3 linked regions of the Xenopus tropicalis genome follow. The protein of the gene in region 3 binds, or shares a complex with, the protein of the main gene of each other region. Links are inferred from orthologs where the notes say so. Each region holds a gene or a part of one and is shown on either strand. Other genes may lie near its edges.

The links.
Region 1: ddx39b (region 3) and c9orf78 share a complex: the UniProt entries of both Homo sapiens proteins name them as parts of the spliceosome. The link is inferred for Xenopus tropicalis from reciprocal best matches to the Homo sapiens genes DDX39B and C9orf78.
Region 2: ddx39b (region 3) and ppp1r8 share a complex: the UniProt entries of both Homo sapiens proteins name them as parts of the spliceosome. The link is inferred for Xenopus tropicalis from reciprocal best matches to the Homo sapiens genes DDX39B and PPP1R8.

Annotation. Positions count from the first base shown.
Region 1 is NC_030684.2:22,434,139-22,438,233, forward strand, and holds the start of c9orf78 (uncharacterized protein C9orf78 homolog), read right to left. Parts: upstream 2,801-4,095; 5' UTR 2,790-2,800; coding exon 2,704-2,789; intron 1-2,703. Other genes in the region: usp20 (ubiquitin carboxyl-terminal hydrolase 20), read left to right, coding at 2,860-2,982. UniProt on the Homo sapiens protein: Plays a role in pre-mRNA splicing by promoting usage of the upstream 3'-splice site at alternative NAGNAG splice sites; these are sites featuring alternative acceptor motifs separated by only a few nucleotides. May also modulate exon inclusion events.
Region 2 is NC_030678.2:79,518,937-79,522,996, forward strand, and holds the start of ppp1r8 (nuclear inhibitor of protein phosphatase 1), read right to left. Parts: upstream 2,801-4,060; 5' UTR 2,795-2,800; coding exon 2,745-2,794; intron 490-2,744; coding exon 429-489; intron 1-428. UniProt on the Homo sapiens protein: Inhibitor subunit of the major nuclear protein phosphatase-1 (PP-1). It has RNA-binding activity but does not cleave RNA and may target PP-1 to RNA-associated substrates. May also be involved in pre-mRNA splicing.
Region 3 is NC_030684.2:74,210,165-74,214,370, forward strand, and holds the start of ddx39b (spliceosome RNA helicase DDX39B), read right to left. Parts: upstream 2,801-4,206; 5' UTR 2,720-2,800; intron 1,191-2,719; 5' UTR 1,169-1,190; coding exon 958-1,168; intron 1-957. UniProt on the Homo sapiens protein: Involved in nuclear export of spliced and unspliced mRNA. Component of the TREX complex which is thought to couple mRNA transcription, processing and nuclear export, and specifically associates with spliced mRNA and not with unspliced pre-mRNA.

The sequences.
Region 1 (4,095 bases), about 52 Mb from region 3:
CGTATACCCCGAACTCGATGTAAGTACATCTGCCCTCTATACGACAAATCACAGAAGCCGCATCCCCACCACAGATCTCTGCAGAAATATATTCACTTTACGTCCCGTATTTTGCAATCACAATGCACCGCTAATATAGAGTGTATGTTTAACTTAGCCCGCAATTGTAACACAACCTACTTACACTTCAAGGGACAGAATTAAGGCCGTGATTATACTCAACTAGCATATCAATAAGTTCTCGCTCGGCAATCTAAGAATTGTTAACCAAAGTTGTATCATAGCCCACACCCAGTATGTCAACCACTTGCTCCTCATATAGTTTCTCGGTCTGTTAACTACACTCAGTTACTCTTACAGCGTACGGAGCCTCCAGGGCGTCAGTAATTAATCGCTAGGTGTGGCTGGTTGTTTCGAACACAGCAGAGGGGGGGGGGGAGAAAGCATTTCTGTACTGTATTAATAACAATACTGTATTAATTAATAATAATAGTAATAAATGTGATTTAACAAATATAAAACTCATTTATATTCTGTGTAGTGTGTGCCATTTGTTAAAGAGACATTTTATTGCATAGGCTGCTTGGAAACTGATGGGAGGGGTCACTGGGTGAGGGGCCATTGGGGGCGTGGGAAGAGGGGGGCCCAGAAAATTTTGTTGTGAGGGGCCCTGTAATTTCTGATGGCGGCACTGTCAGCAGTGGGGTCCTCCTGGGTCTCCTGCCATAGCGCTTCATTTCATTTAAATGTCGCGAGATAATGCAAAGTCTCGCTTTTTCATGCGTATATCGGCTACATGTGCCTGCACCAGAGCGTATCTCATTCATTCGGGTGCAGGCACATGTAGGAGGCGTAGGGCGGAATTTTCAGCAATCGATTTTAAGCTTGCCGAAAATATCCGCCCTACACCTCGTGTGGCATTAGCCTAAAGGAGCATCACATGTTTGGAACAAACTTATTTATCCACAACGGTGCCAATAATTTTGTCCAGCCCATTTTTGGAGTTTTGTGTGACATTATGTCCAATTTGCTTTTTTCCTCCCTTTTTTTTTAGTTCTGTTCCAATACACACAAAGGAAATAAACATGTGTAAAGCAAAACATGTGTAAAGCAAAACATGTGTTACTGCAATACTTTTCTGTGAGAAATACTTGATTTTATGGAAAAATTTCTGGGGTGCCAACAATTTGGGCCATGACTGTATGTGTGTGTATATATATATTTTAATGGTTTAAAATTTAGTGGTTGAGAACAACTTTCCCTTTTTTTACTATAGCTTATACAGGAGCAGTGGCCAGCTCCTTGTTGTAGCTCCCACCCTTCCCAGCTGCAGTCAGGTGATCCCAGTGGAGCCAATAAAAGGGCAACCATATGGGGATTTTAACCTTGAAAGCAAGAAAGTTGCAGGTAAAACTTAGTCCCTTGGCTAAATGTATATTGAAGCAGTAGAATTCTTAATGAATCGCATAAGTCAGTGTAGGAACTGGTCAAAAGGGATGACTTTGACCCAGTTGGCCAGCTTGAAGTATATTGCAATATATGGACAAACAATCCCTGTTTTGCTTAAAGGGAAGGGCATTTCTTAGTAGCTTAAATGCACTGAATGTCTTAATGTCCTATATATTGATAATGGGTGAGTGCAGAGGATCTCTTGTTGTTGTTTCTATATATATATATATGTATATGTATATGTATATGTATATGTATATATATATATATATGTATATGTATATGTATATGTATATGTATATATATATATATATATATATATATCTTTATTTATAAAGCGCTACTTATGTACGCAGTGCTGTACAGTAGAATACATTAATACAAACAGGGTATTAATAAGAGAATAATATATAATAAAATATATATATATATATATATATATATTTTTTATTTTTTTTTTTTTTTACTACAATAAAGGCTACTTTTTTAAATGATTCCCGGTGTGCACCAATATTCACTAGATTTTTTATTTTTAATGCTTAATTGGTAGCACATGGGTCTTTTGACCACGCTTAGGAGTGCTGAATCTACATATGGTGTGTGTGTGTGTGTGTGTGTGCGCGCATTCCTCGGCCCACATGTGCTTGTTAAGTAAACACATTCTTGTACCCTGTATTGACTTACCAGACCACGCAGGGCCCCCCAGAGGGCATTACCCACCCTCCCCTCACAAACCAACACCCTGCCCCTCCCTTCCAGTGTCGGACTGGCCTACCAGGAAACTCCTGGTGGGCACAGGTGTCAGTGAGCCCTCCTGCTCCTACCATTTGGCCTACTTCACGGTCATACCCTATTGCTGAATGAAAACAAAGAAGAGAAATAGATGGAAGAATAGATATTGGCATGTAAATAAAAGAGACTAGCAGAGGTTGGTTGAGAAAAAAATAATTTGGAGAGTGAGCCGAGGGTCTAATGTTTTCTGGTGGGCCCCTGGGTCCCAGCCCGACACTGCTCACTTCCCCTATCTCTGCCCACTAACGCTCAGGTAGAACAGTGATGGGGAAGGGGGTTAGTTAGTTACACCTATAGAAAAAGCAGACCCCCAAGTCTGCCCTCCCAACAATGTGTTTATGGCTAATTGGTATCCATAGTAACGCGTTCTTGGAATAAAAAAAAGGCCTGAGGTAACGTTTCACACGAATACAACTTCGAGTATCCTCACTGTTGAGTCGCAGAAATATAACGAGAACCTACCTAACCTCCTGAGTTACTTCTTCAGCCTCCGCTTCTTCATCTGACGACGAGGCTTTACGCCTCCGAAAGTTTCTTCCCCCAGGCATCTTTCTCCCCGCTGCTGAACCCGGACACTACGGAATATGTAAACTTCCGGCGCGGTCTAATGATGTAATAATGCCAGTGAGAAGCTTCCGGATCTCCGCCCTTGCCTTGGCAGTGTGGGGCGGAGTTAGGAATCAGCAGTCAACAGCTGCGGTAACAGAGGTATCTGGCATCAGGCTGGCATGGCATAGGGAGGTAGGTTTGCTCCTGCACCCCGTATCCATGTACAAGCTCCATAACTACTAGAGGATTAATGTCTGTACAGGCAGGGGTTTAGCTTAGTGTAGCGGCAGGGGCCTGGGGGCAGTGCATCATATTAACCTTGCGTGTGTGTGTGTATGTATATACACACACACACACACACACACACACCTTCTCTGGCACCCCCAGGTATTATTTCTTCTCATGGTGTGCAGCTTACTAGCAACTTGTATCTCTCTCTCAATATAAATATATATATATAGGTAAAGAATGTCGGCACTCTTAGGATTTCCACAATAAGGCAAAAAAGTAAAGTTTTTTTTCAAATGCAAGCGGTGAGATTTATTGTTTCCAACGTTTCAGTCCTTTACTAGGACTTTCGTCAGGGAGTGCAATGTCTTTGCCTTCCTGCACTCCCTGACGAAAGTCCTAGTAAAGGACTGAAACGTTGGAAACAATAAATCTCACCGCTTGCATTTGAAAAAAAACTTTACTTTTTTGCCTTATTGTGGAAATCCTAAGAGTGCCGACATTCTTTACCTATCTACAGATTTTATAGCTCTGGCACCTAGGTTTACTCTCATTTTATGGTGTGCCTCCCACTCTGGACTGTATATATATATATATATATATATATATATATATACCTTTTTAAAGGTCCCAAAAGGGACCGAAACGTCAGTTGTACATGCAATTATAATACTATAATATTTGTTTGAACCACAAGACCCTTGGTGCTGGTTGTGTTTGATTTGGTATATATATATATATATATATATATATATATATATATATATATATATATATATATATATATATATATATATATATATATATATATATATATATGGGCAGACTGGTGTATATACACAGAGAAGCGCTGGGCACAGAGAAGGGGACAGACTGGTGTATATACACAGAGAAGCGCTGGGCACAGAGAAGGGGGCAGACTGGTGTATATACACAGAGAAGGGGACAGACTGGTGTATATACACAGAGAGGTGCTGGGCACAGAGAAAGGGCAGACTGGTGTATATACACAGAGAGGCGCTGGGCACAGCGTAGGGGGCAGACTGGTGTATATACACAGAGAGGTGCTAGGCACAG
Region 2 (4,060 bases), on a different chromosome or scaffold from region 3:
ACAGCTAGGAATATTGATTGTTGGTGTCATATACAGTAAGTAGCGTTCCACTTCCACTAATTCTGCAAATCTGTTTCTCTCTCTCTCTTATATATATATATAAGAGAGAGAGAGAAACAGATTGGAAGTGGAACGCTACTTACTGTATATAACACCAACAATCAATATTCCTAGCTGTGAAGACAGTCGCCAGGGTTACTGGGCTAATGTTTTGTGCTTATTATTAAAAATGAAGGTTGGTGTGCTTATAACCAGTGCCAAGGAACCATTCATGTCTAAGATTTGCGATAGCCCTATCTCACGCTTCATATTGGATGATCTGATTACAAATATCCAAACTGGCCTAACAATGTATGAGAATAGCTTCATGGGCACCTTTACATCTTAAAACATTCAGCGAAAGCATATACATGGTTTAATGTTCCTACCTCAATGAGCTTGTCTCCTTTCACAACATCAAGGTGCAGACCCTGGGGTGGCTTCCCTGCCCTAAATGTAAAGAGGGTACATTGTTATAGTAGTGCAACATTTCTGAAATCCTCAGTCTTGGTATTAATTCAGTTCTTTGGCTTGTCCCCACAACCTGCCCAGGATAATTAAACAATGTAACAGAAAGCGGCTTTATATGCTTCATCACAGGTCTGTTATCCAGCGGGCTTAGGCTGGCAATACATGGGTAGATTTAGCCCCTTCCGACTTCAGTAACTTATCTGCATGTGTATGGGTCCCTGGCTGATTGCCTCCCAAAGAGATATCAGTTTGGTTTCAAAATACCATTTGGTGAGGACTGCACTGATGTGGTCCAATCATTTGCTCAGAGAAATTAAAGATTTCTGTCTCATTTGGCCTAGCCGGTAGGTGACCAAGTTGGGCAAATATGTTCATTTGGTAACTTTGCCAAATAAATAGATGTTTACATGTATGTTCAGCTATATCCTACAAGTCAGAACTACCGGGGCAGAGAACAGAAATGAACTGTTTTCAATAGCACTTATATTTAATAAAATGTGAAGCCACTGGAAAGATGCTTAGAAATACAATTTTTGTCAACAGTTTTTGGGGGTTTACATTCCCTTTAACAAAATATCTTTATAAAGGTCATTTATCAAAAGTTGTTAAAGCATAGCTGGACTACACGGTCCATCCTACTTTATATTTCCTGAGCATTCCTTACCCACAGTGGATGTAAGCAATTACATTTTTAAGAAAACAAAATAATTTGCCAAGACATGCCATTTCCTTTCCAGAACTTACGGTTTCATAACTTGAATTTTTAACTGAACTCTTAAAAAAAAATACACTGAAGAACTGACGAGAGCCCTAAATATTATGCAGAGTTTCTGAGAGATTAAAGGACATGTAAAGCCTACATTTTCTTAATTTGATAAAAGTTCTGCTATGTTTGAGCTCAGGAGAGGATTTAAGGAGAAAAAAAATTGAAGCAGACAGCTAGAGCTGAGTTTCTATGGGAACCAGCAATGCCATCTCTTCATTGGCTGCTAGACTGGGGGGCGTGTTTAGTAATCTGAGCTTAGAACAACTGAGCATGCCCACAAGCCAGAAATCAAAGAAAATTCCAGAGGGGGGGGGCTAGTGAGTTACAGGAGGAGAAGGAAATCTAAGTGGTTAAGGGGATACTGCAGCCTTATTATTAGCCTCTGGACAACCAGAGTGGCAGGTATTGAAAGATTTCAGAAAGGCTGTTCACGGATTACATTTTTTTGTGTAGGGGTTTACATGTCCTTTAAAGAAAAACTCCACCCAAAAAATGTTTTTTCATAAAGGAAGAAATGTCATTCTGCACAATCTTTTAACAGTTTAGTGGCTTTAGAGCTGTTTAGAAATTCAAATTGCTGTTGAAATCAGTATCAGTGGCCTGGCTGTTTATATTCTCTGCACTACTGGTTTTGACTTCGGAGGTGATGTAATAGAAGCCAGTTGATATAACAAACCTAGGAAACTGACTTGTACTACACTGTTTCAAATATCAGAATCAGAAGAGAAAGAAATAAACAATGTATTTATTATCTGCTGTTTATATAGCACACACACATATACATAGTGCTTTACAGAGATTATACATCACTGACATCAGTCCCTGCCCCAGTGGAATTTACAATATAGATCTCTAACACAATCACACACACTACAGTAAATGTAATCAGAAACCACTTTGTTTGTTTTTGGAGAGTGGGAGAAAACCCAAGTACTTGGTGGAAATTCACAGACACTAGGAGAACGTGCAAACTCCTTGCAGATGTTACATTTACAAAACCATTACAAATTTATCAATGAATGTTGCTTAGAAAAACATTTTGTTTTCTTATGCAAAAAACTGTTTAGGGTGGAGATCCCCTGTAAGTACATGCACACCAGGGTATGCTCACTATATGGTAGTGTGCTAAGATCCAAACTCTGTCGGAGCCATGATTTATCTCTTTAATTCTCATTATACTAACACTGTTCCATTCAACTATAATCTTCGGCCCCCGACTTTAAAGGAAAAAGAACTGCCTGCATCTCCTGGCTATCACGGAATGCTTGGGATTGTATATCAGCAGCAGCTGCAGGAGGGCCGCAGCGTGTCTATCACTAGTATGTTTTCCTAGAATACCCAGTAGCTTTAAATGCATTTTCGGTCTTGCTTTTCCTGACTTCTAGTTGCCAACATTGTTTTCTACCTTCTTCATGTTAACTTGCGAAAAGCAACGCACTACTGCGCCTTTTAATTCCCCTTTACTTACCAGCTCGGGCACTCAAATATAGGTTTGCTTGAGTTCGGATTCGCCGCCATCTTTAGTCCTCCTCCCTAAGCATTATGGGAAGCCTCTGACGCTGTATCCGCCGAGTGGCTTTTGGGCATGCGCAGTGCGTTTGTGTTGGACGCGAAGCAGCGTGTAATTACTCTGCGACTCCGTTACGTCATTAAGCTGCAGCGACTATGTCTCGAACTCGTATTGTTATTTTCGGTTTGTTGACATTTCGTTTTAGCGGGGGGGCTAAATTAAAGCTCCACCTAACAAACTACTACACACCCAGTCAGCGGTCAACGTAATACAGACACTATAAGATCCACAAAAAGCTGCTCTTCTTCTGTTAAAACCTATATGATGGCTTACTATTTTTTTACATACATTTTATTGCCTTTTCATCGTATAACAGATAAAGGAAAAATAATACAAAACGGGGGAAACAATGTAAATTCTTGGTACACTGGTGAGTGGCTATAGTGTACAATTAAGGGAGCAGTCATAAGATATTTATGGCTTCACATATACTTATTGCATAGTTTGTGTTGAGATGGGCATACATGGGCAGATTTTGTCAGCGTCCTGTGAGCAATCTTATCAGGTAGACCGTTGTTTTAGCAAAAGATTTATCAGTAGTAAATGATATTGTGGAGAATTATCTTTGGCTGCAAAATCACACATATATTAAGTGATTGTTATATGTCCCTTTGTTTACTTTTGCATTTAAAGGACATGTAAAGCCTACATTTGCCTACAATGTATATCAGTTGGGCACGTCTCCCCCGCCCAAATGGCATCATTTATACTGCATTTATCCCCTCAGTTTGCCAGCACCATCACATTTTCCTAAAGCAAATAGCAGCTTTCACCCGGTGGCCATTTTCCTCTGATACATAATCAGATACATTTAAATCTGCAAACAGCATAAACACACACACCCTTATTCAGCATACATTTCATCAAGAATACAGGCCCACACAGGCAGAACTGTCTCTGATAAAAGTTCTGCTTTGTTTGAGCTGAGTTTAGGAGAAAAAAATTGAAGCAGACAGCTAGAGCTGAGTTTCTATGGGAGCCAGCAATGCCATCTCTTTACTGGCTGCTAGACTGGGGGGCGTGTTTAGTAATCTGAGCTTAGAACAACTGAGCATGCCCACAAGCCAGAAATCAAAGCAAAGGGGCAAAGCAAAGGGGGGGCCGAGAAGATTTCCTTCTCCTAAGTGATTAAGGGGACAATGCAGTCTTACTATTAAAGGAAAAGTAACACTAAAATTTTTTAAGTAAAAAATCTAGTCTACCTGCCCCAATAA
Region 3 (4,206 bases):
GAAGTGCAAACATATGCCATGTAGTAGACTGATTATTCAATATATATATATATATATATATATATATATATATATATATATATATATATATATATATATAAATAAATAAAAGAAACAAAAGGAGCACTCCCTACAAACAATCAACTGCCCCAGGTGCTGGCCAGGAGTTTATGTAAATGAAGAATAGAGTGCACACACAGGGACTTTAAACAAAGATTAAAAAAAAAAAATTGGGCTTCCATGTAAACCATTTATAGGGCAACACCAGTTGTCAACAATGTTGGCTGCTCAAAGCTCTGGTTTCAACAATTGTGTTATTTTTAATTTTGCTTTTTTAGTGGACGAGATGACTATTTATACAGGAACAGCATTTAGCTGATGTCTAAAACTTTTCTTTAGGAAACAAAATGCATAAAGGCACAGGGTGTGCCTATCATCCTGCCAGGCAGTCTCCTGGAACAAATATTTAACAGGAGTGGCTTCATTAAAAAAAGTATACTACTGGGGAACTCTTAAATACAGTAATTATACATATTTGGTATATTAATTACTTTAGCAGTGGGTTTGACAAGAATTGTTGGAGTAAATAAAATTTTCATATGTAAAATATACAAAAAAAATGACAGTGACAGCATTCTGACATGAATTCTCTGAAGTGGTGTCACATACAGGGACACATTTTAAATAGAAGCACTGAGAGCATGCCTAGTGCTTTGGGAAGGTGGCCTTTGTGTGACTATATGGGGGGGGGGGGGGGGTGGAAGTATGTGCTTAACTTATCCTGCAATAATCACATTACTAAACCTAGAAGATGATATACAAAAATATGAGCTATATGCTCATGCCAAACTTAGCTTCTCATTTTACCAGAATTAACACTCCAACTATCATTTTAACTCAGCGACAACATTACCAGACCTTTGTAGTTTTAACAGATTCCCATTTCCCTTCTCTTACCTTCTGATGGATGTTCAAAGCCACAATCTACAATGGCACGAAGCAGCTCAGGCTTGAGCAAAAAGTCTCTAAAACCAGAGCTATGAATGGATACATATGATCCCTTCATTTCCTTTTTGACAGTTATGTCAGGAGCATCCACTCCAGCCTGGTTGTCCACCTCATCGTCTTCATAGTCCAGTAGTTCATTATCTACATCTGTCTCTGCCATTTTTAGCGAGTAGAAGTGATATCTAGAACACAAAAAAAGTACAGAAGCAACAGATGAAGGATGGTTGGAAGACTAAAGGTCCCCATACACTGGGCGATAGTAGCTGCTGATATTGGTCCCTTAGACCGATTCGGCAGCTAATCGGCCCGTGTATCGGCACTTCCAACGGGCCTGCCTGACCGATATCTGGCCTGAAATCGGCCAGATCTCGGTCGGACAGGTTAGAAAATCTAGTCGGATCGGGGACCGCATCGGCTCGTTGATGTCGTCCCTGGACCGACTTTACCTTTGCCCGTCATTATAATTTGATAGTTTGGCCCCAGGGCCAAACAATCGGATTACCCTGGACTCTCCCAATATCGCCCACCCGTAGGTGGGGGATATTGGGAGAAGATCCGCTCGCTTTGTGACATTGCCAAGCGAGCGGATCTGCCAGTGTATGGGGACCTTTACTTTTTAAATTATCAGTTTGATGAAATTAAAAAAATATAGAGCCAGTACAACCAAAGAGTAAAAATGCTCTCTATGTATGTTATTAAATCTGTCTTGCAGTAGAACCCCATTTTTACGTTTCCCAGGGGGCCATATCAGAACAGCATACATTCCAGGTAAACATTAAATCTGAGAAAGAAAAAAAATGCAGGTGGCCTGAAAGGGACCACATTAAAATTCCGGGAAAATTTGAAATCCTGGGACATAAAATCTTGGTTGTAACAGGCAGTATGGAGAAGTATAGACTGTTTCTCCTGAAATATGCTGCCAGAGAAACATTACCTGTACCAGAGCAGGAAATTAAAGATTAACTTCCCTTTACTCTTTAAAAATCTATAGATATGGAATGCATTGGCTCACTGATGCTGTCCTCCTCCCAACAGCCTTATCTCATTACACTTTTTGTGTTTGGAGTGAAATTTTAGCTTTGTGCAAATGTCACATTTCTGTGGAAGTGCAGTTGGATAAAACTGGATCCAGGAGCTCACAAGGACACCTAGATATCACATGTATTGAGTCTGAATGAGATTCAAGGGGTTTCATTTCATACATTCCCATCTGACCAAAGCTCTGACGTGCTGTACCAAAATGTGGGTTAACATATGTTGCTGCTATCATATGTGGCAATATTAGTTGAGGAAAAAGCAGATATTTCTGAGAAATGTACCCTCTTTAAATAAGATACGCTATGAATACGCGACTATTGTGTTGTGTTCCTGCCACATCACTAGAATAAATACAGCTGTGAGGTGGGATGAAAATGTGTTATTACAGCAATAGCCTCAATGACTCTGCTCCATCCCCAATCCCTCCTGAGCCCAGGCCGAGAAAAATGTAATTTCATGTTTAGAGGGGTTTCCACCCGTATAATTGCTCTATTTATCGATCTCCCAATTTGCTATTATCCTTTGTTTATCCTGTGCAACATTGTGAGCTATTACTGGGACTTATTATGGTGTCACTCGGCATGTTCATACATCTCCGGCCGTTCGTGTCTCCTTTTAACTGATCTCATAGATTGACAATATCGGGTAATGTGTCTGTACCCAGAAACGCTACCTCTTAATTAAGTGTTGATAATAATCTCTTTAAAGGATTCACAACGCCGTTTTGACGTCCAATTCCTCGGTTCCAGAAGGCCCGCTCTCACTAGAGTCACATCACAGTCTCATCTCGCGGGATCGTGACGTCACACTTTAGTTATATAAGCGCGGTGACGCGAAACTCAGCCGGTTGTGGAGTGTGCGGAGGAGGTAGAATCGAGAAAGGTGTTGGGTAGTGAAGGATACGATTGTAGAAATAAGTTCTATTATGTGCAGGTCACAGACAAATCAAAAAATAAATGCGGTTTGCCATGGTGGCTGCTAGCAATAATACAAAAATAATTACAGGGGATCCGAACCTAAACAATTAAGCATTCTTGTAATAAACGTTCTTTCTTTGTTTTAAGTGGCGGCTGAGTTGATTGCATTTTATTTGTGGCTCAAGGGAAAGTCAGCAACTCTAGGGTTAATCGTATAAGGCCAGTGCATAGACATTAGGAGGTGTGCAAAAGTGCAATTTTATTGTTCACTACAACTCAAACATATGCCAGGCAACAAAACAGTTTTTCTGTTAGCAGCTATAGCACCACGACCACTAGAGCCTCCAAGCCCAATATTTAAATAAAAAGTGCAATTATTAGTGATGAGCGAATATGTCCCGTTTTGCTTTGCCGAAAAATTAGCAAAATATCTGCAAAACGTGTTTGATTTTTTTTGTCGCCCTTGCACATTTAGATGCGAGTGTGCCTATTTTGATGCACAACAAATTTTCTTTGAAGTCTCGCAAAACAATTCACCAATGGCGAAATGCAGAAATTTGCCAAGTGTCTATGCCTGGAGAAAAAATTCACTCATCACTAGCTGTCATCTTTTTTCCCAGTGCTGAGAGCTCCCATTTGTGCCAGGTAACAAATAAACCCACATTTTTCATAGTTGCCAACAAGAACAGTTCCCATCTAAGCTTCCCCCTTCCTAGTTTGACCAAAAACAAATATCTTTTTGCTAACTAGATCCATGTGAAATTAAGCATCTCTAAAGGTTTTTCCCTTCCCTTAAGAGGGTGCATGTAGGTTGGATAGGATCAGGTCAGTGCAACACTCTTGTAGGTGAGGGATCTGCCTCTAAAGGAGAACTGCAAACATTCAAGAAGACTGGACCTGTGCTGCTGTACAGTTTTCAGTCCCTGAGTATTTTGTCTGTAGCGTTTAATGCATGATTCTTAAAAAGCATAGTGCTTGAAATAAAACATTTTGACTTTGACCTGCCCATGTAAGCAGTTAGTGGACATTAATAGCATGACATTTTGCTATTAGGTTATTTTTTATACTTATGTACATGGTTCATTTTTTTGTAGAATACATGTACTATAAATCTGCTTAACAAGCAGATGTACATTACAGAGACTCCTTGTGTCTCATGTCGCAAGGTACAGCCAGTGTATACCCTCACCCTATACATCAGTGGTCCCCAACCAGTGGCTCGTGAGCAACATGTTGCTCTCCA